Macaca fascicularis: one gene and its partners. Each later gene encodes a partner of the first gene's protein in a complex. Links are inferred from orthologs where the notes say so. Each region holds a gene or a part of one and is shown in the gene's direction. Other genes may lie near its edges. The genes, in order: SNRPD1, SNW1, SNRPD2, STRAP, LSM3, CRNKL1 and TXNL4A.

Region 1 (4,247 bases):
AAAAGGCCAGGTGAGCTTGGCATCCTGAAACCTGAAAGAGGTAAGGGGAGTGTTTGTGTTAAATCTTGATGAAGTTCACACCTGTAATCCTAGCACTTTGCACTTTGGGAGGCCTAGAGAGGCAGATCACTTGAGGTCAGGAGTTCAGGTCATCCTGGCCAACATGGGGAAACCCTGTCTCTACTAAAAAGACAATAATTAGCAGGGCGTGGTGATTCCCCCCTGTAATCTCAGTTACTGGAGAGGCTGAGGCACGAGAATCGCTTGAACCGGGGAGGCAAGGGTTGCAGTGAGCCAAGATGGTGCTACTGCACTCCAGCCTGGGCGACAGAAGGAGACTCTGTCTCAGAAAAACAATAAAAATAAATTTTGAGGAGATGTTGTGAAAGATGAAGATTGAAAAGTTTGTCTTATAGATCGGAACTTAAAGTGAAAATAATCCGCTACATTGTGTGATTTTATTTTTTTATTTTTATTATTTTTTGAGACGGAGTCTCGCTCTGTTGCCAGGCTGGAGTGCAGTGGCGCGATCTCGGCTCACCGCAACCTCCGCCTCCTGGGTTCAAGCGATTCTCCTGCCTCAGCCTCCCGAGTAACTGGGACTACAGGCGTGTGCCACCACGCCCAGCTAATTTTTGTATTTTTAGTAGAGACAGGGTTTCACCATGTTGGCCAGCACGGTCTTGATTTCTCGACCTCGCTATCTGCCCGCCTCGGACTCCCAAAGTGCTGGAATTACAGGCGTGAGCCACAGCGCCCGGCTCATTGTGTGAATTGCTTCAGGTACATTAAGTAATGCTAAGGTTCCTGGCGTTGGAACAGAATTAGCATAATCCTTTGGGCTTCTCTAAGAACTTATTTTCGTTCAGTGAGGAATTTATATTAGGTGCTGCACTCACGGTGCCCTGCTATTCAGAAACGTGATGGTGACAGTACTAGTGTGTGTGTGTGTGTGTGTGTGTGTGTGTGCGCGCGCGCGCGCGCGCGCGCGACGGAGTTTCGCTCTTGTTGCCCAGGCAGGAGTGTAGTGGTGCGATCTCGGCTTACTGCAACCTCCGCCTCCCGGGTTCAAGCGATTCTCCTGCCTCAGCCTCCCGAGTAGCTGGGATAACAGGCGCCCGCCACCACATCCGGCTAATTTTTTGTATTTTTAGTACAGACGCGGGTTTCACCCTATTGGCCAGGCTGGTCTTGAACTCCTGACCTCAGGTGATACCCCCGCTTCGGCCTCCCAAAGTGCGACAGTCCTATTAATTGGATTTAACCTCTTCGAATCTCCTTCTCTTGTGGGACACTTTTCCTCTTAGACCAGCCCTCAACACCCTCAGTCGTGGCAAGGCAACCTCCAGCCGCCAGGGGCCGCAGTCGCGCTCCTCGCGACCGGAAGAGAGTGCGGCCCAGCGCAGCCTCGGCGTTTCCGCCGTGCGTCTGCTGTGCTCCGCGCGCCCTTTACGACCGGAGTCCCTGGAGTAGGCGCTTCCGGCCATTCATACTGCAGTTGGTCAGTATTCGGTTGTTGGATTCTGTGCGCTCTCGGACCCGAAGGGTGACGGCGCCGCTAGGATGAAGCTCGTGAGGTGAGGGAGTGACCAAGCAGCTCTGGGGGCTGTGGAGGGAGGGCTTGGCCCGGAGTCCGGAAGGCTGGGCTCTCCCATTTGCAGGAGGCGGGAAAGCCGCGTGTGCGCGGCCTGCTAACGGCCGGCCTTACTGCGCCCGCAGCTCGTGCTCGGGCCTGGGCTTCTGCCTGGGTCGCTCGCGGATCCCGCGTGTCTTCCAAGATACTGGTATAAAGGCCGAGCCTTTTCTTCCCGCCTAGTGACTTAGAGACTTTCAAGGTGCAGCGCCGCCTGGGAGACATCTCGCCCTTACAGTTACTGATTTTCTTTTTGAGTGGAGCTCCAGCCCTACTTAAGAGTACTTAGAAAGCTGTATGAGCTTATCTGGAAACAAACCTGTTTGCAAACTGTTTTAAATCAGAGAAGGACTTCTGGCTTCACAAGTTTTTGTTTTTGTTTTTTTTTAAATAAGACGGTGTCTCACTTTGTTGACCAGGCTGGTCTCGAACTCCTGGGCTAAAGCGTTCTGCCTGCCTCGCCCTCCCAAAGGGCTGAGATTACCGGTGTGAGCCACTGCGCCCGGCCGATTTTTAAGTTTATCTTTTGATTCTCCTTAGACTTATGATTGATTATTCTACCTCTTTCCTGTTAAGGTAAGCTTTTTATTTAGGAAAATCTCCCAATATAGGGCAGAAATTATCACAACGTAATTGTGGCTGATTACCCAGATGATATATAGTTATTCTGTTTTATTTCTTTCGCGAGAAATAGACCCTGTCACTTAGGTGAGTCTTCTGGAGACTAATTCCAAACTACCTGCGAGTAGATTTGGTTTTGGTCTTTTTCCTTGAGACTGAGCCTGGAACAGAGGCAGACGTTTCTAATAACTAAGCCATCGATTATAAATATTTAGCTTGTTTCTTTCCTGTTGAGTCAAGGATTGTCATTATCCGCTAAATAGTTATTGGGCACCTGTTACCTACTGGGCGCTGGTAATAGTATTTTTTAAAAGGCAGATCCTTGTTGGAGCTTTCTAGTTAGGGGGATGACAGACAAGTAGATAACGTTTGTTTGAAACGTTTTAAATAACACATAAAAGCCTTCAATATTCAGGGAGGAGGCCAGGCGCAGTGGCTCACGCCTATAATCCCAGCACTTTGGGATGTCAAGGCGGGCAGATCACTAGGTCAGGAGTTCGAGACCAGCCTGACCAACATGGTGAAACCCCGTCTCTACTAAAATTACAAAAATTGCCCGGGCGTGGTGGCGCGCGCTTGTAATCCCAGCTACTGAGGAGGCTGAGGCAGGAGAATCGCTTGAACCCAGGAGGCAGAGGTTGCAGTGAGCTGAGATTGGCCACTACGCTCCAGCCTGGGCAACAGAGCGAGACTCCGTTGCAAAAATAAAAAAATAAAAAATTCAGGGAGGAGTTGGTACAAAAGACAATTAAGATTAATTTTTGTTGTATTTTTATTTGAACTATAATTTTGGATAGGAAGTCATAGAATTTAAAGTGCATTTTTTAGGCTGGACGCGGTGGCTCACGCCTGTAATCCCAGCACTTTGGGAAGCTGAGGCAGGCGGATCGCCTGAAGTCAGGAGTTCAGGACCTGCCTGGCCAACGTGGTGAAACCCCGTCTTTCGAAAAATACAAAAATTAGCCGGGCGCCTGTAATCCCAGCTACTCAGGAGGCTGAGGTAAGAGAGGCGCTTGATCCCGGGAGGTTGTAGTGAGCCGACGTCACACCACTGTGCTCCAGCCTGGGCAACAAAGCGAGACTCTGTCTCAAAAAAGAAAATTACAACATTTTTTGAAATTTCTCCATACCTGCTAATCTGAATCTTAATCTACTCATAGTTCAATTTTATGTAATACACCTTGGATTTCATTTGTTCCCTTTAAAGATATTGCATGTTATGGCAATTTTCCAGTAATTTTTAATAGCTGGACTGAATCCTGTTTTGTGTCTTAGGTCAAATATAGAAAGAAAATTTTTTTCTTACCAGAGAATGTATTTTTCCTCCAGAAAATGATTGTTTGACTAACTGGTTTGCGTTTTCAGTAGACTAATTTCTGTATATCAGTTGGTAGTTGTCATCCTTATTCTCACTGTCACCCTAACCAAAAACCTGGGAGGTGAGCTTGACTTTTTCTCTCCTGATGTCCTTGACATTTGATACACTGCCAGTTTTACCTACTGCATAAAAGTGTCCCACATTTTCCTGTTTGTTTTTTGGGTTCAGATAGTGTGTTTTGATACTGAGGGACACCGTGTTATCTGACTATTTGATATCTAAGTTTCACTAAGTAGAAAGAATTCAGATACTGAAAGATTCGTCTGAAAATAAGTTGAATCCATTTGGTTCCTGGGTTCAGTTAGGGAGGGATAATTGTGTATTTGTCCTGCCCATAGTAGCCTCCTTTCGTTCCGGTCACCACCATTGAGGTTCAGGCCCTTTTTATCCCACTCATGGATTTTTGTTTTCCTTCTTTGAGGTGAATATCTTAATACAATGAAATGCAGCGTATATTTCCTGCTATTGAAAAACATAAGCACTTTTGTAACCTAAACCCCTATCAAGAGAAGTAACATTACCAAAACCTCAGTTTCCTCAAGCCTTTCCCAGGCAACCTCTGACTCCATACCCCTAGATGCAACCAATTTCTTCCACCATACATGAATTTTGCCT
Region 2 (3,119 bases), on another chromosome or scaffold:
AGAGACAGCATGACCGGAATCTTTCCAGGGCAGCTCCTGATAAGAGGTAGGTGTTATTTAAGATACGTACCAATCATGGAGGCTGGGCGCGGTGGCTCACCCCTGTAATCCCAGCACTTTGGGAGGCCGATGTGGGCAGGAGATCGAGACCATCCTGGCTAACATGGTGAAACCCCATGTCTACTAAAAGTACAAAAAATTAGCCGGGCGTGGTCATGGTGGGCGTCTAGTCCCAGCTGCTCGGGAGACTGAGGCAGAAGAATGGTGTGAACCTGGGAGGCGGAGCTTGCAGTGAGCTGAGATGGCGCCACTGCACTCCAGCCTGGGCAGAGTGAGACTCCGTCTCACACAAAAAAAGATAGGTACCAATCATGAAGAGTGGCCTTTTTGTACCTTTTAGAGCAGAGTTTTTAGTCCACTAAGATCAGTTTTGCTTCTCTCCCTTTCTTCTTCAGTTTGATAACTTAATACATTAGCACTTAATTTTCTTATACTTAACTTTGTCTTAGCTCTAGTTGACTGTCTTTGGAATTAATCTTTTCTTCCATCACTTAAGTCAGAATTGAGAATGATGGGAATATGGAAAACAGAATTGAGATCAGATTTTTGAAAAGGATGTAGTAGTAAATTTGGACTGTTATAGTCGGTTCTTTTCCTACCTTAAATGGTGAGACAAATGGATTATGTGCCTCTTTAGACAGGAAATAAGCTGTCATGCTTTTACTGAGATCATTTTATATGCATAGTACTTTATATGCATCTAGTGCAATTGAGAAGAGCAGTTTTGAAAGAAGTGAAAATCAGCTCATTCTTAACAGAAGTTTAACTTACAGTTCAGAAAGACAGAGCTATCCATAAAATAATTTGAGAAAATTTGCAAAGCACTTTTAGTAAATATAAATGTATGGAACAAACTAAATACATATACAAGGGCATAAAGTATGGATTGGGGAAGTTTATGGCTCACCAAAGGCTGAGGACTTAAAGTTCTGAAAAGTAGAGGAAATGCTGCAATACAAAGGTAGAATTCTGAGTGAGGGTTAAATGCAAATATAAAATATTTTCTTCCCAAAGGAACAGTTTTCTATGCTCTGATCATCCCATGAGCCTAATACATTTTTCAAGTCATATTTTAAACACAAAAAAGAGGCTGGGCACGGTGGCTCACACCTATAATCCCAGCACTTTGGCAAGCCAAGGCGGGCGAATCACTTGAGGTCAGGAGTTCATCCAGCCTGGCCAACATGGTGAAACCCCCATCTCTACTAAAAATACAAAAATTAGCTGGGTGTGGTGGCATGTGCCTGTAGTCCCAGCTACTCGAGAGGCTGAAGTGGGAGAATCATTTGAACCCTGGAGGCAGAGGATTCAGTGAGCCAAGATCGTGCCACTATACTCCAGCCTGGGTGAGAGCGAGACTGTATCTCAAAAATAAAAATAAATAGGCATTAAAAAGATTCCTGCTGGTGTTAATTGGCATATTTCATCTCCCTGGATAAATGACGTCATAGAGAAGCAGAGACTCTTACTCTTGAGTTGAGGGTAACGTACATGTAGAAGGAGGAGCAAAGTGTGAAAGTGTTTAATTAATGACAGTCTTGGTTAGTAATTCCTAAGTTGTAAAAGTTACAATGGCTCTGTGGATAAATTGGGCCCTCAAAACCAGTAAAGTGGCCATCAGAATTGACAACATAGAAAAGCTGTAAAATTGTAACTGGATGAAAATCAAATAGCCTGTAGAAATCATTTTGTGACCTGAGTTTTTAGTAAAATAAGTAATGACAGTTACCATGGTTTCATTGGGATATAGATTGCATGTATAATGAAACAGCCAGGAAACCAAATTAATTTGAATGTCAAAAATCATACTAACTATTTCAGTCATTGACATGTTTTCCTCAAAATTCTAGTGGGATAAAATTATTAAATGTAGTTAGATAAAAGAGCTGTTTCTAGCTTATTTAAAATGATTCCTGTGCTACATCTAAATTGTATCCACTTCCCCAACCCCCAAACCATCATATGATAGTAAATATAGACCATAGCAATTTTATATCTCAGTATGGTTGTAAGGTGATTGCTTATATTAAAGAATTCCATGTCAACGAATCTGTTAGATGTTCTTTTGAGCTAACAGGATGTCCTAATTGTAAAACTCTTCCCTCTAATCTGAAATGCTTTATAAGGGCTGCCAACTTGATTATGTATTATCAAGGAATATACGTTCTCAAGATGTGAATGTGACATATTCATGTCCTTTGCTTCTGAGATTGGTTGTATTTCTATTGAACATACTCAGTTTGTCTATAAAGAGTTTTCAGTTAGTGATGTCGTATTTCAAAATAGGTCGAAACTTCAGAGAAATGAAAATCGGGATATCAGTGAAGTCATTGCTCTCGGTGTTCCTAATCCTCGGACTTCCAATGAAGTTCAGTATGACCAAAGGCTCTTCAACCAATCCAAGGTACAAGTTTAGGAAAGCATATTGTTGTGTTGATGTGAATACCTATCCTCAGGGAAACGAAAATTACCATACTTCATATTTGGATGTAAATGCCAGCATGATGACAAAAAAATTGGAAGTTGTATGTTGAAACTTGAGACAAGAAAGATGAAACAGTTCTGATTTTAACTTCTTACAGTGGACTGAAATTTGAGACACTAGGAGAAGAAAGAAATTAGCTGATTAAAAACTTGGTGCTGTACTCGGGAGGCTGAGGCAGGAGAATGGCGTGAACCCGGGGGGCGGAGCTTGCAGTGAGCCGAGATTGAGCCACTGCACTCCAGCCTGGGCGACAGAGCGAGACTCTCTGTCTCAAAAAAAAAAAAAAAAAAAAAAAACAACTTGGTGCTGTGGTATGTCAATCTTTTGTTTTTAAAATAGAACCAGGGAGGACAGGCACGGTGGCTTTTGCCTATAATCCCAACACATTTGGAGGCCGAAGCAGGCAGATCACCTGAGGTCAGGAGTTTGAGACCAGCCTGGCCAATGTGGTGAAACCCCAGCTCTACTAAAAATACGAAAATTAGCCAGGTGTGGTGGTGCATGCCTGTAATCCTCACTACTTGGGAGGCTGAGGCACGAGAATTGCTTCAGCTTGTGGTGAGCCAAGATTGTG
Region 3 (4,001 bases), on another chromosome or scaffold:
GGCGTAGAACCCTGAACCCCCTCGTCTTACTATTTCAGACCTTTCCTCATAAAAGGAAGCTACTGTTGTAAAACCAGCCCGAAGCCTTATTCCTTTGGTAAGGGTCATGCGCTCAGATGACGAAGACTGTGGCATCTGCGGTTAGGGCCGTACGCTAAAGCCAAGTCAACCCTGGGTAACAGCGGGGAGGGAATGAGGGTCCCCGCGGTGCCCGGGTCCCCGCCCAGCCTCACCCGCAGCTCCCGGCCCAGCGGCAGCTCCTCAGTCCTGCGGTGCCAGCCGCTCCAAATGGTGTAGAACGCCGAGCCCACGGCCAGCGCCAGCAACAGGGGCAAGAGCCGAACCCGCGGTAGCAGGCGGCGCTTCGGGGGCAAGAGTGGCTCCATAACGCCACGTTCCCCTAGCCGCAGGCGGGGCCGCCCGCGGCCCCCGGAACGCATGGCAGCTATGCCCTGAAACCTGTACCAGACCACGATTGAGTTTAGGCCCAGCCAAGTTCCACCCCATGGAATCAGTGGGCCAATAAGCAACAGCAGCGGCTGCACCTGCCCACCCCACAGCGAGCAGCGAAACCAATAAGAGCTACGGTCCTGAGGACACGCCTCCCGGCCTCCCTTGGGTATTGGGGTTGGTTCTTCTGAGAATGGCACGACCCAAAAGGGAGCGCAAAAGAGATAGGCTCCGCCTTAGCGGAGGGGGAAAGCCAATGAGCAGCGTTTGATCGTGGAAAATATTCAATCTCTCGGGCGCAGGTCCATGCCCCTCCCGGATGTAGGCAGGGGATTGGTGGCGCAGGGTCGGAAAGATCAGTAGATACGTCAATAACCCGTCCCAGAGGGAAGAGGGGCGGTGCCTGTCTCCGAAGCGAGGAGCGGATTGGCTTCAGCGGAGGCCGCGCCCCCGAAGTCACGGCCGGCGGGCATTTGGAAATAGTTTGTCATTTCCCTCCTTAAACCTGTACCATTCTTAAACGAAACGGTTTGAATCAGACCGCCTTTCCTTTTGTCTTCATTGTCATAAACATCTGCCCCGTGTGGTTCTGACTGGCCTCGAACCCCTATCCGAGGCTTTTATTCTTTCATTGTGCACCGTTGGTGGGCAATGCTATGGCAACAGGCCACGCCTCCACTTACTGGTTGGCTTTGCGCAGGCGCCAACGGAAGTGGGTCGCAGGAAGAGGAAGTCCCGCCTCTCTCGCCTCAGGCTGCAGCAACGCGGAGGAAACGGGAGTGAACGGAGAGCTTAGTGACCATCATGTGAGGCCGGGCTAGGCTTAGGCGGCGGGAAGGAGGTTGAGGGTGGAAATTTTGACCGATTGAGGGTGGGAAGGGTTGAGCAGAGAGCGGGGTGGGGGACAGGGGCAGATGTTTTAGGGATGGAGCGTCCTGCGTTTCTCCTGATGAGTTTGAGAACGGGCGTGGGGCCTTTGACGCATCGTGACTTCGGGAGAGGGGACAGCTTTATCAGATAACGCGCTGGGCTGGGCGCGGGGACTCATGCCTGTGATCCCAGCATTTTAGTAGGCCAAGGCGGGAGCATCGCTAGAACACAGGAGTTTCGAGACTACTCTAGGCAACATAGCGAGACCCCCGTCTCTACAAAAAAAATTTTTTTTAATTATGAAAAACATATTTTAAACGATAACGGAGGGGGGTCCTAGATAATTAGTCCTATTGAAGTGAATGTTAAGGGGCAGCGATTTTACGAATACTGGGGGAGGCCGGGCGCGGTGGCTCAGGTTTGTAAATCCCAGCACTTTGGGAGGCCGAGGCGGGCAGATCACCTGAGGTCAGGAGTTTGAGACCAGCCTGGCCATTGTGGTGAAACCCCGTGTCTACCAAAAATACAAAAATTAGCCAGACGTAGTGTCGGGCCCCTGTAATTCCAGCTACTTGGAAGGCTGAGGCCGGAGAATCGCTTGAACCCGGTAGACGGAGGTTGCAGTGAGCCGAGATTGCACCACTGCACACTTCCAGCCTGAGCGAAGAGTAAGACTCCATCTCAAAACGAAACAAAAGAAATCAAAACGAATACTGGGGAAGGGAAGTTAGGACTTTTAGAAATAATGATTTGAAATAAGGGACTTCTCCTGATCATTTGAGCTGGAGACAGATGCGTTTTCGACCTAATTCACAACTTAAAGGGATAACGAGTGATTGGCATGATTTTGCTCATTTATTAGTGCACCAAATATTACATTGAATGTTTATGTATCAGACACTGCTTAAGCCACATAGGATACATCAGTGAATGAAACCTTTTGTTCCCAAGGAAAAAAAAAATCTTTTTTTTTTTTTTTTTTTCCCGAGACATAGCCTTGCTCTGTTGCTCAGGCTGGAGTGCAATGGTGCGATCTCAGCTCACTGCAACCTCTGCCTCCCGAGTTGAAGCAATTCTCCTGCCTCAGCCTCCCGAGTTGCTAGGATTACAGGCACCAACCACCATGCCCAGCTGACTTTTATATTTTTAGTAGAGACCAGATTTCGCCATGTTGGCCAACCTGGTCTCAAACTCCTGACCTCGAATGATCCACCTGCCTCGACCTTCCAAAGTGCTGGCATTACAGGCGTGAGCCACCGTGCCTGGCCGGGCGTGAGCCACCATGCCTGGCCGGGGTTTTACTTTCTACACTGAGATGGCGGGGGGGCATGGGAGGATTTTCTTTTGTTTGTTTGAGATGGAATCTCGCTCTGTCACCCAGATTGGAGTGTAGTAGCACGATCTCTGTCTCCTGGGTTCAAGTGATCTTCTTGCCTCAGCCTCCCAAGTAGCTAGGATTACAAGCATGCGCCACCATGCCCAGCTACTTTTTTTTTTGGGGTGGGGGATGGAGTCTTACTCTGTAACCCAAGCTGGAGTGCAGTGGTGTAATCTTGGCTCACTGCAACCTTCGCTGCTGGGGCTCCAGCGATTCTCCTGCGTCATCCTCCTAAGTAGCTGGGACTAGAGGCATGCGCCATCACACCTCGTTAATTTTTTTGTATTTTTAGTAGAGACAGGGTTTCACCATGTTGCCCTGGGTGGTCTGGAACTCCTGAGCTCAGGCGATCCACCCCCCTTGGCCTCCCAAAGTGCTGGGATTACAGGCGTGAGCCATCACACGCAGCCTAATTTTTGTATTTTCTAATTTGTATTTATTTATTTTTTGAGACAGAGTCTCGCTCTGTCGCCCAGGCTGGAGTGCAGTGGCATGATCTCGCTTCACTGCACTCTCCGACTCCTGAGCTCAAGCGATTCTTCTGCCAGAACCTACCAAGTAGCTGAGATTACAGGCGTGCACCACCACGCCTGGCTAATTTTTTGTTGTTGTTTTTGTTTTGTTTGTATTTTTAGTAGAGATGGGTTTTCACCGTGTTGGCCAGGCTGGTCTCGAACTCCTGATGTCAAGTGATCCACCCGCCTTGTGAATCATCACCAGCTGGATGCCTAACAGACATTTTCTTTTCTTTTCTTTTCTTTTTTTTTTTTTTTTTTTTTGAGACGGAGTCTTGCTCTGTTGCCAGGGTGGAGTGCAGTGGCGCGATCTCAGCTCACCGCAACCTCTGCACCACAAAAGTGCTAGGATTACAGGCATGAGCTACCGTACCCAGCCCCTGGGAGGGCTTTGAAGAGTGACATGTTATGATTTAGGTTTTAGCACAGCCCCCTCAGACCACTCTGTGGAGAACAGACTGTCAGGGAACATGGGTGGAGGCAGAGAGACCGGAAAGATTCCAGGTCAGAGATGACAGAGGCTGAGGCCATGGTAAGAAATGGCCACTTCCTACAGATTTATTGTAGGATGCAAGGGAAAAAGAGGAATCAAGTTGACAAAGAGTTTTTGCCCAGAGAACTAGAAGGCAGATGGGGAACACTGTGGATAGGGTAGGCTTCGGTGGTTGGGTGATCTGGACCCCGACCTGAGACATGCAGAGTTGAAAATGTCTGGCTGAGCGCGGTGGCTCACACCTGTAATCTCAGCACTTCGGGAGGTCGAGGCGGGTGGATCACGAGGTCAGGAA
Region 4 (4,136 bases), on another chromosome or scaffold:
CAAAAGGGAGAGGCTGACACAAAGGAGGAGTCAAACAAAATAAAATGAAAAACGTATATAGTAAGTGCTTTACTGTAAGTGAATGGACGAGAGTACTAAGGAAAAAGAATAGAGACATATTTCAAGTTTTCACGTTGTTTGACGCAAATCTTGTAGACGGTGTTTGCTGCAAAAAGATGAAGAAAACATTCACAGACATTTATGTTGATTACATATTTATTGGTATGTGCCAAGACGTTTTGATCTTGGGGATGAAGTAGTAAACACAAAAATCTCTGTTGTATAGGGCTTACATTCTAGCAATAAAGAACTTGCCCAGAGAAAAGGCCTCTCCTGGTTAGTAAACAGTATGAACAATTAACAGCTCTGGTTGTTTCACAGAGCCACACTGGGCTGCCTGCTGCAGACAATATCACAGTTTATATTTAAATATTCTTTTAATTTGTCCTTGTATGTAATTTGCAAATTATCACTCATATGTATACATATCAAAAGATGTGTAAAAGTTTTTGATAGAATTCAGCATTCATTCGCTTAAAAAATGAGTGCAGGCTCACTTTATTGATGAGAGTATTTAATCAAAAATATTGGGGATCTACAACTCTAGAGTTCTCCAAAGTCCACCAAGGAAAAAGTAATTTGAATTTAATCGCATTTAAAACTATATAGTATCCACGCCTAAAACATTAGCAACATAGGAAAACTCACACAGCAGAAGAGATGGCTGGGGAATTTTTTTTGGTTTTTGTTTTTTTGTTTTAAGACAGGGTCTCGCTCTGTCGTCCAGGCTGGAGTGCAGTGGCGCGACCACCGCTTACTGTGGCTGGCCTCGACTTCTCCGGCTCCAGTATCCTCCCACCTCAGCCTTCCAAATAGGTGGGACCACAGGCACCACCACGCCAAGCCCGTATATGGTTTTTAAGTAAGACAAATTGCAAAAAAACGTTACTAGACAGTGTTCGCAGGTTTGAGCCGTCACTGGGAATGGCTCGTGTCCGTCTAGATATTCAGAGGCCGAGCACAGTCCTCAGTAGGGCTGCTCGGCGGGTACACTGCTGCCGCTGGCCCCTGGGCTTACGGGAGTGGGAAGGGATTTCAACTCGGCCGCGGACCGGGAAGGCGTTCTGACCCGCTAGAGCTCGGGGCGAGGGACCCCATCCCGGTGCCTACAGCGCCTCCTTTAGCCGGCATGGGCCAGCGTTAGTTACCTCAGGGCACTGAACTGGCGCCTGCGTCTTTCTGCACTTCTCGCTCTTTCTTCAAGTCACTTATGCCCAGCGAGCCCGCCCTCCCGCCAGCCAATCGTCATTTCCGGCGGGTGCTCTGCGTCATTTACGTCGTCACTTCCTGCCGATACCGGTGTGGACGGTGTGAATCGTGGCTGGGCCGGTTCTCTGCTTCTCCCCATCCCCTACTTTCCTCCCTCCCTCCCTTTCCCTCCCTCGTCGACTGTTGCTTGCTGGTAGCAGACTCCCTGACCCCTCCCTCACCCCTTCCTAACCTCGGTGCCACCGGATTGCCCTTCTTTTCCTGTTGCCCAGCCCAGCCCTAGTGTCAGGGCGGGGGCCTGGAGGAGCCCGAGGCGCTGCAGCAGAAGAGAGAAAAGACAACGACGACCCTCAGCTCGCCAGTCCGGTCGCTGGGTTCGCCGCCGCCATGGCAATGAGACAGACGCCGCTCACCTGCTCTGGCCACACGCGTCCCGTGGTTGATTTGGCCTTCAGTGGCATCACGCCTTATGGGTATTTCTTAATCAGCGCTTGCAAAGGTGAGCAAGGCCTCAATCCTGGTCCCCGACGGCTGGGACTGGGCCGAAAGGGATTGGGACCCGCACTCTCCAGTGCTGAGCTGTGGTGTGGTGAGCGGGGAGGGGGCGATATTAACATCTGAGATGAGGGCCAACACTGGTCCAGTGGAGAAAGGAGTGTGTTAGGGAATCCGCAGCTGGAGCCGAGAGGCCTCCGGACGCTTATGTAGAAACTATTACCCCCAGCTAAGACCTCTCTCCTTATTTTATTTTTATTGCTATTTTTGAAGGAGCTGGACAGCACTTGCCTAGACTCTCGGGACAACACTGTAAATAGCTGTCAAGGATTTGGGGAAAGGAGAAATTAGGCCAGGCCGTGCGATACCTTACAAAGATGTTCGCTCTTGTCTCACTGGGTATTCCTTTGTGGTATTAGCCTCATTTTTCAAATGGGAAACAGATTTAGGCTACAATGTTTGTCCAAAATAAGACTAAAATCTAAGTTATTTCGACGCAGATCAGTATTCCCAGCAAATTACAGATGCTTTTCAGGGAAAATGATCTGTTCAGCTCTTCAGTTAATTATTACTGGACATTCCGTAGTGACTTCAATCGGTGGTGATAGTTAAATAGCTGAAACAATTTTTCCACTTCGTCATTGAACATCATTGTATATTTACATTTGAATCTTAGACTTTAATCCGAACTTATAAATTACATGTTTTAAAAAATATTTTCTAGATGGTAAACCTATGCTACGCCAGGGAGATACAGGAGACTGGATTGGAACATTTTTGGGTCATAAAGGTGCTGTTTGGGGTGCAACACTGAATAAGGATGCCACCAAAGCAGCTACAGCAGCTGCAGATTTCACAGCGTAAGTGTAGCCAAGATGGCTAACTTTGGTGTTCTCTGTAGATTGTGTCCTGAAATAATCAAAAACTTCAGTCTCAGATATTCATAAAATTCTGACTCGCTGGCTGCCATATAGAACGCATGATGTTTGATCTCACCAAAATTCCATCCTGGTCCATCGTGGTCCTGTGTGCTGCTTTTGTCTTCAGTGGTTCTCAAAATTTTTAGAGGCCTAAATGACTTACTCCTTATATTTTGATTGAGACTCAGGAATCTGCATTAACAAACGCTCCAGATAATGAATGTTGATCTCCTTTACGAATGCTGCTCTGTGTGTACTCCTTAGTGATAACCTACAGTGATGACCCTAGGTTTTTATTTCAATCCCAGTTTTTGTTAACTGGCTGTAGGCATCACTAAAACTCATTGTGTCAAAAACAAACAAAAAGACAAAACAACAACAAAGCAAAACTCAACTGCTCTTCATTTCCTAAGTTTTTAAAGGTTGAAATCTAAAGCATTCTTGATTTTCCCTTACATCGAGATTATCATCATCTGTTTTGATTGTGCCAGCAGGATGTCTCCTGACTACAATGTTCCTCCATGTAGTAACTGCCACTGCCTTAGTTGAGGATCATTTTTAACTTTCAGTAGTTTCTTTTCCTCCTATTCATATTCCATATTGCTGCCAGTTGTCTTCCTAAAAATGTATTTGATCATGTCACTTCTCTACCTAATGATCTTGCTGTCTTCCCTTTGCCATTTTAGTAGTTCATGACCTTTGACATACATTAGAATATCTGGAGAACTTTTCAAATATTCAAATGGTATGTGTCCCAGAAATTTGGATTTTTAAAACTTTTTTTTTTTTACTTTTTTACTCTCTATGCATATATATATTTACACTTTTTACTACATTGAAAAATTTTTAAAATACTTTTTAGTATATAGACAGTATCTAGCTATGTTGCCCAGGCTGTCTTAAACTGTTGGCCTCCATGCGTCAGCCTCTCAAAGAGCTGGGGTTTTGGGGATGAACTATTGTGCCTGGTACAGAAATTCTGGTTTGATTGGTCTTTAGGGATAGAGTACTGATCATACTGATCATTGGCGTTTTTTTTATTTTTCTTCCCTCCTTTTCTTTCCTGATATGCAGTCGTAGAATTGCTGACCTAAAGGACACATTTCAATTGTTGGCCCTTTACAGTTTGCTTCATCCTAGTTCATCAACATCATCCTCTCCCATTGCACACCATAAACCTACAATCTAATTATACTAATCTTATTGTTGTCAGAAATATACTTTACCTGTTCTGACTTTTGGCTGTTAATTATGTTATTAAACTGACCTACAGTGGCCCTCGTTGCCTTTTTGGGAATATATCATGTATTAAAAATCTTGTTTTCTCCAGTTCCTACTTGGTATTTGTAACTTAGGAATTTGACACTTCATTGTTTAAACTGATGAAGGCAATATCAAGAGCTATTGTGCATACACAAATTTATTAGATTTAAGAGGCTAGAGAGTACAAGT
Region 5 (4,198 bases), on another chromosome or scaffold:
GATTTGAAGAAATCAGCCCTGGCAAAAGCCATGGTGGGGGGTCACTCTAGGCCGAAGGAATATCAAAGGAAAAGGCTCAAGAAATAACTTGGCATATTTGAGGAAGAGAAAGGAGGCCAATGAGGAGGGTATCTGGCAAGGAAACAAGTGGTAGGAGAAACAGGAGAGGTAGCAAGAGCCAAAACACGTAGCATCTTGCAGGCCAGGATAAGACAACTGGGTTTTAAACTAAGAGCAATGGAAAACCAAGGAGAGTTTAAAGCAGGAGCATGGCATGATTTTTTTTTTTTTTTTAAAGATTATTTGCGTTGCTGGATGCAGAGCTGGGAGGCCAGTCAAGAGGAAACTGCAGTCACTCAACTGAAAGGTGATGGTGACTTGGACAGGGGTTGTGGCCATGGAAATGAAGAGAAGTGGACAAATTTGAAATACAGTCTGAGGCTGAACTGACTGGACTTGCTGACGGGACTGGATGTGTGCACATAAGAAAAAGGTGGACTTTGTTTTATAACAAGTATTGGGACTGGAAAAACGGAGGAAACCATAGATTTGAAGGGGAAGACCATGAGCTCTGCACTGTCCACGACAAATGTAAGAAGCCTATCCAATATCCACGAGGGGAAGTCAGGTGGGATCCCACTGTGGAACTCTGGGCGAGACTCAGCTGAAGTTATCATTCGGGAGTCAGCACACTGCATCACTCTACGTCCTGGTCCGTCCGTCCGTTTTCCTGGGACACAAATAACTGCCTTCTCCGCGTTCAACCCTGAACATCTGCGCTGTATCCTCTGGACAACGGGGAGCGGGAAAGAAGCTACGCAGGAGCTTGGGTCGGGCGAGGCTCACGGGAAGCCGCTCTGGGTGCAGAGGACAAAGGCGCAGGGACAGCGGGGAGGGCCGGCCGCGGCCTGCCGTGCTGCCCCCACTGCGCGGAACGCGCGCAGCAACCTCCACCCGGCCTCCGCGTCTGGACTCCCGCCGCCCCTGCCTCTGGGCCTCCTCCGCCCACCGGCAGAGTCTCCCGCGAAGCCCGCTGGGCCACGCTCTCACCCTCCTCCTCCTCACGCCGGGTCTTGCTCTTGGCCTTGGACTTCTGGCTGCGCGTTTCGCGTCCCCGCGGCTCCCCGCCGGCCGCGCGCTTCCGAGCCATATTGCTTGTCGGGGAAAAATCCACTTCGCGAGTGACGCACCAGGCCGCGATGCGTTAGAACGCAGGCCCCGCCCCGAGGCGGGCGCGTCTGGCCGCGCCCCTTCGTTGGAGGCCTAGTCACGCCCCCAAAGGAAGCTCCGCCCCATACCCGTGGCCACTAAAAAACCGCGGGAAGCAGGCAAGAGCACAGCAGGTTTCTATTTCCGGTGTATTGTAGCATCACGTTTCCGGAGCTCGGCGTTGCTCTTGTGTTCTCGCGAGAGGCGGGAAAGGGCGCAGGGTTTGAAACATGGCGGACGACGTAGACCAGGTGAGTGAATTTTAAGGCGGTGGCTCGGCGCCGCTTCTTGTACTAAACTGCTTTTTCCAAACGCAGGAAAAATGGCCAGTCGCGCCTCTTCTTTCCAAGTCACACGGCCTAATCCGCCCCATCCTTTCCGTAAACACCCCTGTCCGAATTTTGCTGCAGGCCCTGAGGTCTTTTCCGTTAGAAGGCCACCTGATGACTATTCATCACACTCTTCGCTTTGTTTTTTTAAATCTGTAAATTATTATGCGTGCCTACCTCACGGAGCTGTCAGGATTCCAATAGAAAGCCAGATAATAAAGTTAGGAGTTGTTATTACTGAGCACAACAATTATTTACTCATTCAGCAGAGAGAGTGAACATCAGCTTTGTATGGTTAGACACTGTTCTAAGAGCCAGGGACACTGACATCGATATATAAGTGATCCTTGCCATGACTTGGAGCTTATATTCGCGAGGAGAACAGATAAATATAAATATGTAAGATTTATAGGAACTGTGATGTGCTATGAAGGAAACAAGGAACTGGTATGCAGAATAACAGATGGTCCTAGAAGCTTTTTCACCTGGTCTTTTTCTTCCTCAAATATCTTTGGAGATCATGCTACAACTTAAACTTTCTACTGAAATCTCACCTCCTCAGAGAGGACTTCTGCCCAAATAGCACTCCCCCTACTCTGCTTACCCTGCCTCATTTTTCTTCATAGAACGTTATTTTTTCATATTAAATGTATGCATCTTTGTTTAATGTGTATCTCTCCTGACTAGAATGTAAGTGCCATAACAGTAGGCATTTTGTTTTGTTCATTCTTTTGTCCTTGGGGTTTAGAACAGTGCTGGAAATACTCAACAAATATTTGAGTGAATGAGTTAGATGATCAGAGGAGGCCTCTTTTAAAAGCCAATGTATAAAGCTACAGGATGAAAAAGAACAGAAAGTGGGCATCCCAGACAGAGGCTTAGGTAGCAGTAGAGCTCTGTCATGTGCATATTCTTACAGTATTATAATTATTCATATGCCTATCCACATTAGAATGAGCTCCTTGAGGGTGGAGATTGTGACTTCTGTATCATTGTAATCTAACAGTTGGTTATCAGATCCTTTAACAAACACCTGTTGAACTGAGGGACATAGGGACCAGTTGAGTTAGGTTATTTTTTTTTCTCTCATCGGGCCTTTTGAATCTTTAGCGCCTGTTACGAATTCAGTTACCTTCCTCCACTGGCCTTGTGTGCTTACTAAAGAAGCTCTCCTTGAATCATCTAACTCTTTAATGGCTGCAACCCTCCCTTCCATGTGGGTGACCCCAAGTCATCCTAGCCCTGACCTCTAAAACCAGTGTTTCCAGCAGTTCTTTAATAATATAATATTAGTAGGAATCTTTTCTTTTCTTTTTTTTTTTTGGATGGAGTCTCACTCTATCGCCCAGGCTGGAGTGCAGTGGCGTGATCTCAGTTCACTGCAACCTCTGCCTCCTGGTTCAAGCGATTCTCCTGTCTCAGCCTCCCAAGTAGCTGGGACTACAGGCACGTGCCAGCACGCCTGGCTAATTTTTGTATTTTTAGTAGAGACGGGGTTCACCATGTTGGCCAGGCTGGTCTCAAACTCCTAACCTCAGGTGATCTGCCTTTCTCAGCCTCCCAAAGTGCTGGAATTCAGGCCTGAGCCACCACGCCCAGCCAAAAGGAACCGTTTCTAAGTATTAATATTTTCTGCTTTCCTGGCACTGTTTTAAATGCATTAACTAGTTTCATCCTCATAAGAATCCAGAAGGAAGGTTGTGGCTTTCTCAATTACAAATGAAGAATCTGAGAATTACAGATGGCATGATTTTTAATCTCAGTTCATAAGTGTCAGGTCACAGCCAGGAGTTGAACCCAGACTGCCTGACTCCAAAGTCAGTGCTTGCTTGCTTGTTGGCACCATCTTGGCTCACTGCAACCTCCACCTCCCAGGCTCAGGCAATCCTCCCACCTCAGCCTCGGAGTAGCTGGGACTACAGGCGCATGCCACCATGCCCGGCTAAGCCAGTGCTTTGAACCAGTGTTCTATTCTGGCTACTAAATATTCATCTTACTGGCCAGTTGGCAGCCTAACCTCAACCTGTGCTGAATTCATAATCTTCCCATAAACCTACACCTCTACTTGGCATTCTGACTAGTATATGGTAGGCATTAAGTGAGTGTTTTTCCTATGATTACATAATATTTGAGATAAAGCTAAAGTTCCTAAGACCCTATACCCTGAAATCGGGTCAGGCAGTTTGGATTTTGAGGGAACAAAGTATAGTCATGATTATTTTGCTGTGTAACTCCTTCTTATGTATGCGTGTTTTAATCTACATTTATATAGCACATACTATGTGAAAAGTTCTGTTCTAAGCCTTCATATATGTCACTTAAGCCTCATAAAAACAGTATTAGGTAGACACTATTATCTCCATTTTACAGATTAGGAGACTGAGGCAGAAAAAGGTTAAATAACTTGCACATGGTCATACAGCATAGCAGTGATTTAAGCACTACTTTATCTCTAGTACTATATTACTAAACCTGTTTCTGTTATCAGCAACAAACTACCAACACTGTAGAGGAGCCCCTGGATCTTATCAGGCTCAGCCTAGATGAGCGAATTTATGTGAAGATGAGAAATGACCGAGAGCTTCGAGGCAGATTACATGTGAGTAAATTTATCAAGTTACCTTGAAATCAGATTCCTTCCCACCCCCACTCCCTTGAAA
Region 6 (3,500 bases), on another chromosome or scaffold:
ATTTGAATCTCACAGGAGCCGTAGAACTCACCCAGTTGTTTTGTTAATCTCATGCACTGACATGACCCTGCATTTAATGGTTTGGCCCCCTGACTGCGTTAAGGCAGAGCTTTGGGTATCACTGAGTTTGTCAGTTGTCCTCAGCTCCTCCACCAGACTGCCAGGTCTCAGGTGTCCAGGCCACGGTTTATTCATCCTTATGCCCTGCCAGGCTGCACCGAGCCAGTGCTCACCTGTTCAGTGAATGCTTGTTGCATTGAACTCTGATAATAACAAGGAGTGTACAGTAGAGGTAAGAACATACATACTGGCTAACCTGGGCCTATTTTCTCTCTGGAAGCTCAACTGCATGTAGCTGGAATATGAAAGAGTACCTGGGAGATGCTTGGCAAGTTTCTCAGCTCTTGATAAGTCAACCATTTGAAAAACTTCCAAAGAGAACCTCTAAGACTGAATCCAAGGCCCTTTTTCTGTAATCTGAAATTCTAGCCAAGTTTTGGCCAGCTTATAGATACCAATGTTATTTGTCTTATCCACATGTGTTCTTTAGTTGTTCTGTAAAACTCTTATGTTCCTAGATGTAGGTTAGAGTGATACTTAAGCTGTGCTTTGGCTGGGGGCATGCTGCTTTGCAAATGTCAAGACTGACCAATTTACTTGTCTTTCTTAGGTGCTTTGGAAATCATATATTGATTTTGAAATTGAGCAGGAAGAAACAGAAAGAACACGAAACCTTTACCGACGGTTGCTTCAAAGGACGCAGCATGTCAAGGTATCCGTTTGCTTTGTAGATGATCTTTCATTTTGCTTGAATCAGCAGTCCGGAAGAAAATACTCTATTTCTGTATTTTAAGTGTGTGGGGTTTTTTTGTTTTTTGTTTTGTTTTGTTTTGTTTTAAATGACTTCCTTGCTTCTTAAGAGAAACATGAGTCTCAGAGGACTTTCGAATGTTAAGTTTATACCAGGTCATTGTTTATGTTGCATGTGAATAGCTTGGGTATCACAAGATTGAAAAAAAGTTAAACTTTTTTTTTTTTTTTTTTTTTTTTTTTTGAGACAGTCTCACTCTGTCGCTAGGCTGGAAGGCAGTGGCGCAATCTTGGCTTACTGCAACCTCCTCCTCGCGGGTTCAAGCAATTCTCCTGCCTCAGCCTCCTGAGTAGCTGGGAGTAGAGGTGTGCGCCATCACGCCCAAGCTAATTTTTCTATTTTTAGTAGAGATGGGGTCACCTGTTGGCCAGGATGGTCTCAATCTCTTGACCTTGTGATCTGCCCGCCTCAGCCTCCCAAAGTGCTGGAATTACAGGCGTGAGCCACTGCGCCCAGCCAAGTTAAACTCTTTTCAAGAGTTTAAAACTATGTCAGACATTTAACTGTAGAATGTAGAATGACATATTTTCAGTGTTTGTATTGAAGCATATATTCATTGTTTTAATCTGTGAAACACTAGTAATGAACACATCTTTCTGATGTCATTAACTGGGAATTCGCTTTATTATTACTACATTAGTGTCTTCTGAGTGACATGGTTAATTTGGTTCAATAATAACTTTTTTTAAAGGTATGGATCAGCTTTGCTCAGTTTGAATTGTCTTCAGGAAAAGAAGGAAGTTTGGCTAAATGCAGACAAATTTATGAAGAAGCTAACAAAACCATGCGAAACTGTGAAGAAAAGGAAGAGAGACTTATGCTGCTGGAATCTTGGCGAAGTTTTGAAGAGGAATTTGGAACAGCTTCAGATAAGGAGAGAGTAGACAAACTCATGCCAGAGAAAGTCAAGAAGAGAAGAAAGGTCCAGACGGACGATGGGGTAAGATCTCTGCCCTGGGACTGTTCATCTCACGTCACATGAGTAGAAACACATCTGACTTTGAAATGTAGACTTTTTAGTGGCATATGTACAATCTTAGAATGGAAGCAGACCACCTGGAGTAGGAGATGGTTGCAATCTGGCTGTTATGGAAACACGGGGTAGAGCATATGGTCCAGTCAGAGGTGGAGAATGAGAAGGGGTTGGCAAAGGTGTTTTGATGACGGTTGAGTCTGGGAACTTCATGAAGTGTGATATTTTTAGAGCATTAAATAGGAAGTCAGCGTGGAGGAAGACTGAAGCGAACTTTCAGATAGCAGCCTATCCAGAGAAGGCTTGTAGGCGATAAGAAGGAGTTTGGTGGGAGTCAGTGAAGGCTGTTTTGCATAAAATGACGTGACCAGATTGCTGGCATCTGGCATCTCATACTGGTAGACTCAAGGGGCTTAGACTGGAGAAAGAAGACCCATCAGGAAGCAGTTTTTATAAGCTAGCAAGACATGGAAGCTGGAACTAGAACAGGGCCACAGGGCCTGTTAGAACAGTATTTGGAAGGTGAAATCAGTGACTGATAAGAGGTGAGGATGGGAGGGTAGGGAGTTGGAATAATAATGCACAGATGTATGACTTTTGCTACTGGATGAATATTATGTAAAAATCGTTAAACATTTTCTTAAACCTAAGACTGCACAATGTAGTTGGAGACACTGAACATCTTGGTTGGCTGTAGAAGAGCTATGCTTAGATTTTTAGAATTTTTTTCTACCATTTTAGTTCTCACTGAGCTACAGTTGCTGCTTACTCACTCCCAGTCTTTCAGACCCAGCCCTTGTTCTTTCTGTAGTAGACTTTGATGTTGTTTTGTAAAATGGAGGTAATCCTTCGGATTTCCAGTAAAAAACCTTCATTCTGATATGTGAGTGTATCACCCATGTTTGCTTATCTTTTCATTGTTTTATTTCTGTAGTCTGATGCAGGCTGGGAAGAATACTTTGATTACATCTTTCCAGAAGATGCTGCCAACCAGCCTAACCTCAAACTCCTGGCCATGGCCAAACTGTGGAAGAAACAGCAGCAGGAAAAGGAGGATGCTGAGCACCATCCAGATGAGGACGTCGATGAGAGTGAATCCTGATCTTTTTTTCATATTGACAAATGTTTTGTTATTTTTATAAATTAATTGTTTGGAACTCTTGTGACTCCTGGAAGTTCTTACATATTTCACCAGTAAGAAACTGATTGGTATCTTTGATAGCTACTTTTTAAGTTATTTTTTAAATGCTCTTGGGTTAGCTAGGGGTGGGGATTGCAAGTAAAGGACTTTTTTAACTGCTGGATTTCTTTTTCCAACTGAGTCCAAACTTTTCTAGCGTCTGTCCACATCATGCATTAGAAAATGTAATTAAGGTAACATTCTACAGTAACTTTTCATGTCATAACCATAAAGATAGTTTATGCATTCATCTGAAATGTGTAACTTTTTCATGTCTTCAGAGTCACAGACTTGAGTTCATTTCCCAGCTCTGCCACTCGTGATTATATAACTTAATTTTCATTTTGCTCATTCACAAAATGGGCCAATACTTTGACAACTCATTTTGAAGATTACATTATAAAAGGAATATACCTGGTGGGTGCATAGTAAGTGCTCAGTAAAGTGTTTGTTCTAAGCCACTTTTAAAAATAGTT
Region 7 (2,971 bases), about 67 Mb from region 1:
GAGGCTCAAGAATTTATTCCTTTTGTTAACAGTTCTTACACGAATTTGCCTGTTTCCTCTCTTGAAGGCAGCACCTCCGACACTTTGCTTGGAAGTTTCCGCAGCTAAATATCCCAAGTGTGTTGCTTTTGAGCACTGATCTCCCATAACTGCGGACCCTGTGTCCCTGTTCCTCGGCCACTCTGTAACGGGGTCCCCTTTGCTCCGTTTCCCAGTAACGCACTCCTCACTTCCTTCCGAGCCCGCACCAGGCATTCCTAAAGTCCATATTCCTGTTAACAGCCTGTTTGAGGCAATAGAGGCCTTTTCTAATTCTTCAGGTGAGAACAGGGAGGGCCGTCTTAGGTCTCTGTCCCCCACAGCATGCAGCGGAGGCCAGCCTGGGGCTGGAGATGCTGTGAGGGGCAAGGAGGCTGCAGGGAACAGCCTTGGATGGAGGCTGTAGCCTACTTAGTGTAGTTTGATATTCGTAGGACTGATGCTATACTCAGAAAAGAAGATGAAACTTCCTTCTGCTGTTGTTTCTGTGATTCAGAATATTAAGACAAATGGTACTTTAGTTACCTTATGCACTAAACATGTGTCTTGAGCCCCCACCAGGTCTGTGGTCTAGTGGTGGGGCCTAATATCAGATAAGGCAGGATTCCCACTCTCACAGGACTTTGTCTGATAGAAGAAACAGCTGAGTAAATTAGCAGGGAATACTGAAGAAGTGAAAGGAGGCAGGTGTTTATGAGATGTAAATACTGAAGAAGTACCCCCAAGTCAGATAGGGCTACAGGGAGGGTACTACGGGCAGCCCCAGTCGGTGTAGAAGGATCTTGGTGCGTGCTGCATGGAGCGCCGGCCTGCAGCATGGAGAATGAGAGGGCGGCCAGAGGTGGGCTCCAGACCCTGATCAGATTTGCCTTTCCTGAACCACAGACTTCACTGGGAACGCTTTCTGTGGAATAGTAGGTGGAAGCCAAATGCATGATCTTGTGGAAGTGAACGTTAAAAAACAGTCTTCAGGTGGGGCATGCCTGCCACCCAGCCACTCTGCAGGCCGGGGTTCAAGTCCGGCCTTAGCAACATAGACCTCATCTCTAAGAAAAATAATCAGGTCGGGCGCAGTGGCTCACACCTGTAATCCCAGCACTTTGGGAGGCCAAGGTGGGAGGATCACTTGAGGCCGTGAATTTGAGACCAGCTTGGGCAACATAGGGATACCCCATCTCTACAAAAAACTAGAAATTAGCTGGGTGTGGGGGCTCATGCCTGTTGTCCCTGTTATGTAGAGGACTGAGGTGGAAGGATCATTTGGGCCGGTAGGTTGATTTTGCTGCCGTGCCCTAGCCTGGACGACAGTGAGACCCCATCTCAGAAAGAAACTTCAACAAACCAGGATAAATTTATGCCAGTACAACAAAGGGCTAATATCATTATCTTGTAAAGTGCACATAAGTATTCATAAGAAAAAGAACTAATCTCTTGAAAGATAAGTCAAGAATCATCTGCTTCCCTCACCATAAACATGCAAAATGTCATCTTCATTTCATAGTTGAAGGGCTTTTAATACAATTTATGTCAGTGCTCAGAAGAGCACCATGAAAAACACATTGTTTTTATCAGGTAAATTAGTACAAATTAGTTGGGGGTCTCGTTTTGTTATCCATGTTGGTCTCAGACTCTGGGCCTCAAGTGATCTTCCTGCCTCAGCCTCCCAAAGTGTTGGGATTACAGGCTTGAGCCACTGCGCCTGCCCTCCTTTGACCTTTTAATTTCCCCTTAGAATATTTATCCTAAATAAATACAGAAAAATGCAGGGAAAAGCGTGGTGGACGATGCATTGCATTTTTAAAAAGCACGTTTAGGTGCTTCCTGTGTTCTCCTGCATCATGGCAGACACTTTTGATTTTATGCGTTCTTCAGTGATGTTAACAAGAACTTGTAACAGTGGGAAAAATACAGCATTGTTTTCAAGGAATTCTTTTTTAAAGGGATTTTATGAGAATGGATGCCCTTGTTTCTCTTTGCAGGAACAAGCATATCATGATTGACTTGGGGACTGGCAACAACAACAAGATTAACTGGGCCATGGAGGACAAGCAGGAGATGGTGGACATCATAGAGACTGTGTACCGCGGGGCCCGCAAAGGCCGCGGCCTGGTGGTGTCCCCCAAGGACTACTCCACCAAGTACCGCTACTGAGGCACCTCAGTCTGCGCGGATAAGATAAACGTCCTGGAGCCGTTTTTGTGCGGAAATGTTTTAAGCTATTTAAAGCCTTTGGAAAATACAGGAAGCTCGAGGGCTGGAGGACCTCTGAGATGGAATTGATTACATGGTCTTAACTCACCAAAATAAACAAGCACGTGGTGAGAGGAGCAGGCCTACTTGTTTGTTCTCAGGAAACTTGATGAATACATGACTGATATTTCCTAGTCAAAGTTAATTCTTATCCTTGGAGTAAAACGAAGGTGTTTATCCTGTGAGGTTGTGCATTTTGCGTACTTGATTAGTTTGCTAGGGCTGCGGTGACAGCCTGCCGCGAGCTGGGCCTTAACAGAGAAGCTCTCACAGCTTTGCAGGGCTGGGTCCGAGATCGGGCGTCGCAGCTTTGCAGGGCTGGGTCCGAGATCGGGCGTCGCAGCTTTGCAGGGCTGGGTCCGAGATCGGGCGTCGCAGCTTTGCAGGGCTGGGTCTGAGATCGGGCGTTGCAGCTTTGCAGGGCTGGGTCTGAGATCGGGCGTTGCAGCTTTGCAGGGCTGGGTCTGAGATCGGGCGTTGCAGGGTGGGTTACTACTGAGGCCGTGAGGGGAGTCTGCCCAGGCCTCTCCCTGGCTTCTGGGGGCTGCTGGTGGTCTTGTCAGTTCCTTGGTGTGTGGATACTTCTTCTGTGTCCTCCCTGTGTGGGTGCTGGTCCAAAATTTCCCCTTTTTGTAATGACACCATCTGTGTTGGATTGGGGCCCACCCTGCTCCAGCGTGGC

What was found.
Region 2: SNRPD1 (region 1) and SNW1 share a complex: the UniProt entries of both Homo sapiens proteins name them as parts of the minor spliceosome. The link is inferred for Macaca fascicularis from reciprocal best matches to the Homo sapiens genes SNRPD1 and SNW1.
Region 3: SNRPD1 (region 1) and SNRPD2 share a complex: the UniProt entries of both Homo sapiens proteins name them as parts of the SMN-Sm complex. The link is inferred for Macaca fascicularis from reciprocal best matches to the Homo sapiens genes SNRPD1 and SNRPD2.
Region 4: SNRPD1 (region 1) and STRAP share a complex: the UniProt entries of both Homo sapiens proteins name them as parts of the SMN-Sm complex. The link is inferred for Macaca fascicularis from reciprocal best matches to the Homo sapiens genes SNRPD1 and STRAP.
Region 5: SNRPD1 (region 1) and LSM3 share a complex: the UniProt entries of both Homo sapiens proteins name them as parts of the U4/U6-U5 tri-snRNP complex. The link is inferred for Macaca fascicularis from reciprocal best matches to the Homo sapiens genes SNRPD1 and LSM3.
Region 6: SNRPD1 (region 1) and CRNKL1 share a complex: the UniProt entries of both Homo sapiens proteins name them as parts of the minor spliceosome. The link is inferred for Macaca fascicularis from reciprocal best matches to the Homo sapiens genes SNRPD1 and CRNKL1.
Region 7: SNRPD1 (region 1) and TXNL4A share a complex: the UniProt entries of both Homo sapiens proteins name them as parts of the U4/U6-U5 tri-snRNP complex. The link is inferred for Macaca fascicularis from reciprocal best matches to the Homo sapiens genes SNRPD1 and TXNL4A.

Annotation. Positions count from the first base shown.
Region 1 is NC_088392.1:68,147,116-68,151,362, reverse strand, and holds the start of SNRPD1 (small nuclear ribonucleoprotein Sm D1), read left to right. Parts: upstream 1-1,447; 5' UTR 1,448-1,563; coding exon 1,564-1,577; intron 1,578-4,247. UniProt on the Homo sapiens protein: Plays a role in pre-mRNA splicing as a core component of the spliceosomal U1, U2, U4 and U5 small nuclear ribonucleoproteins (snRNPs), the building blocks of the spliceosome.
Region 2 is NC_088381.1:145,676,371-145,679,489, reverse strand, and holds part of SNW1 (SNW domain-containing protein 1), read left to right. Parts: coding exon 1-46; intron 47-2,346; coding exon 2,347-2,464; intron 2,465-3,119. UniProt on the Homo sapiens protein: Involved in pre-mRNA splicing as component of the spliceosome. As a component of the minor spliceosome, involved in the splicing of U12-type introns in pre-mRNAs.
Region 3 is NC_088393.1:53,756,366-53,760,366, reverse strand, and holds the start of SNRPD2 (small nuclear ribonucleoprotein Sm D2), read left to right. Parts: upstream 1-1,201; 5' UTR 1,202-1,254; coding exon 1,255-1,256; exon of another isoform or gene 1,257-1,988; intron 1,989-4,001. Other genes in the region: QPCTL (glutaminyl-peptide cyclotransferase-like protein), read right to left, coding at 234-440. UniProt on the Homo sapiens protein: Plays a role in pre-mRNA splicing as a core component of the spliceosomal U1, U2, U4 and U5 small nuclear ribonucleoproteins (snRNPs), the building blocks of the spliceosome.
Region 4 is NC_088385.1:18,696,899-18,701,034, forward strand, and holds the start of STRAP (serine-threonine kinase receptor-associated protein), read left to right. Parts: upstream 1-1,336; 5' UTR 1,337-1,656; coding exon 1,657-1,768; intron 1,769-2,488; coding exon 2,489-2,624; intron 2,625-4,136. UniProt on the Homo sapiens protein: The SMN complex catalyzes the assembly of small nuclear ribonucleoproteins (snRNPs), the building blocks of the spliceosome, and thereby plays an important role in the splicing of cellular pre-mRNAs.
Region 5 is NC_088376.1:152,442,898-152,447,095, forward strand, and holds the start of LSM3 (U6 snRNA-associated Sm-like protein LSm3), read left to right. Parts: upstream 1-1,398; 5' UTR 1,399-1,439; coding exon 1,440-1,460; intron 1,461-4,026; coding exon 4,027-4,137; intron 4,138-4,198. Other genes in the region: XPC (DNA repair protein complementing XP-C cells), read right to left, coding at 1,051-1,150. UniProt on the Homo sapiens protein: Plays a role in pre-mRNA splicing as component of the U4/U6-U5 tri-snRNP complex that is involved in spliceosome assembly, and as component of the precatalytic spliceosome (spliceosome B complex).
Region 6 is NC_088384.1:67,267,686-67,271,185, forward strand, and holds the end of CRNKL1 (crooked neck-like protein 1), read left to right. Parts: intron 1-670; coding exon 671-772; intron 773-1,562; coding exon 1,563-1,811; intron 1,812-2,778; coding exon 2,779-2,946; 3' UTR 2,947-3,001; downstream 3,002-3,500. UniProt on the Homo sapiens protein: Involved in pre-mRNA splicing process. As a component of the minor spliceosome, involved in the splicing of U12-type introns in pre-mRNAs.
Region 7 is NC_088392.1:1,026,814-1,029,784, forward strand, and holds the end of TXNL4A (thioredoxin-like protein 4A), read left to right. Parts: intron 1-2,018; coding exon 2,019-2,190; 3' UTR 2,191-2,471; downstream 2,472-2,971. UniProt on the Homo sapiens protein: Plays a role in pre-mRNA splicing as component of the U5 snRNP and U4/U6-U5 tri-snRNP complexes that are involved in spliceosome assembly, and as component of the precatalytic spliceosome (spliceosome B complex).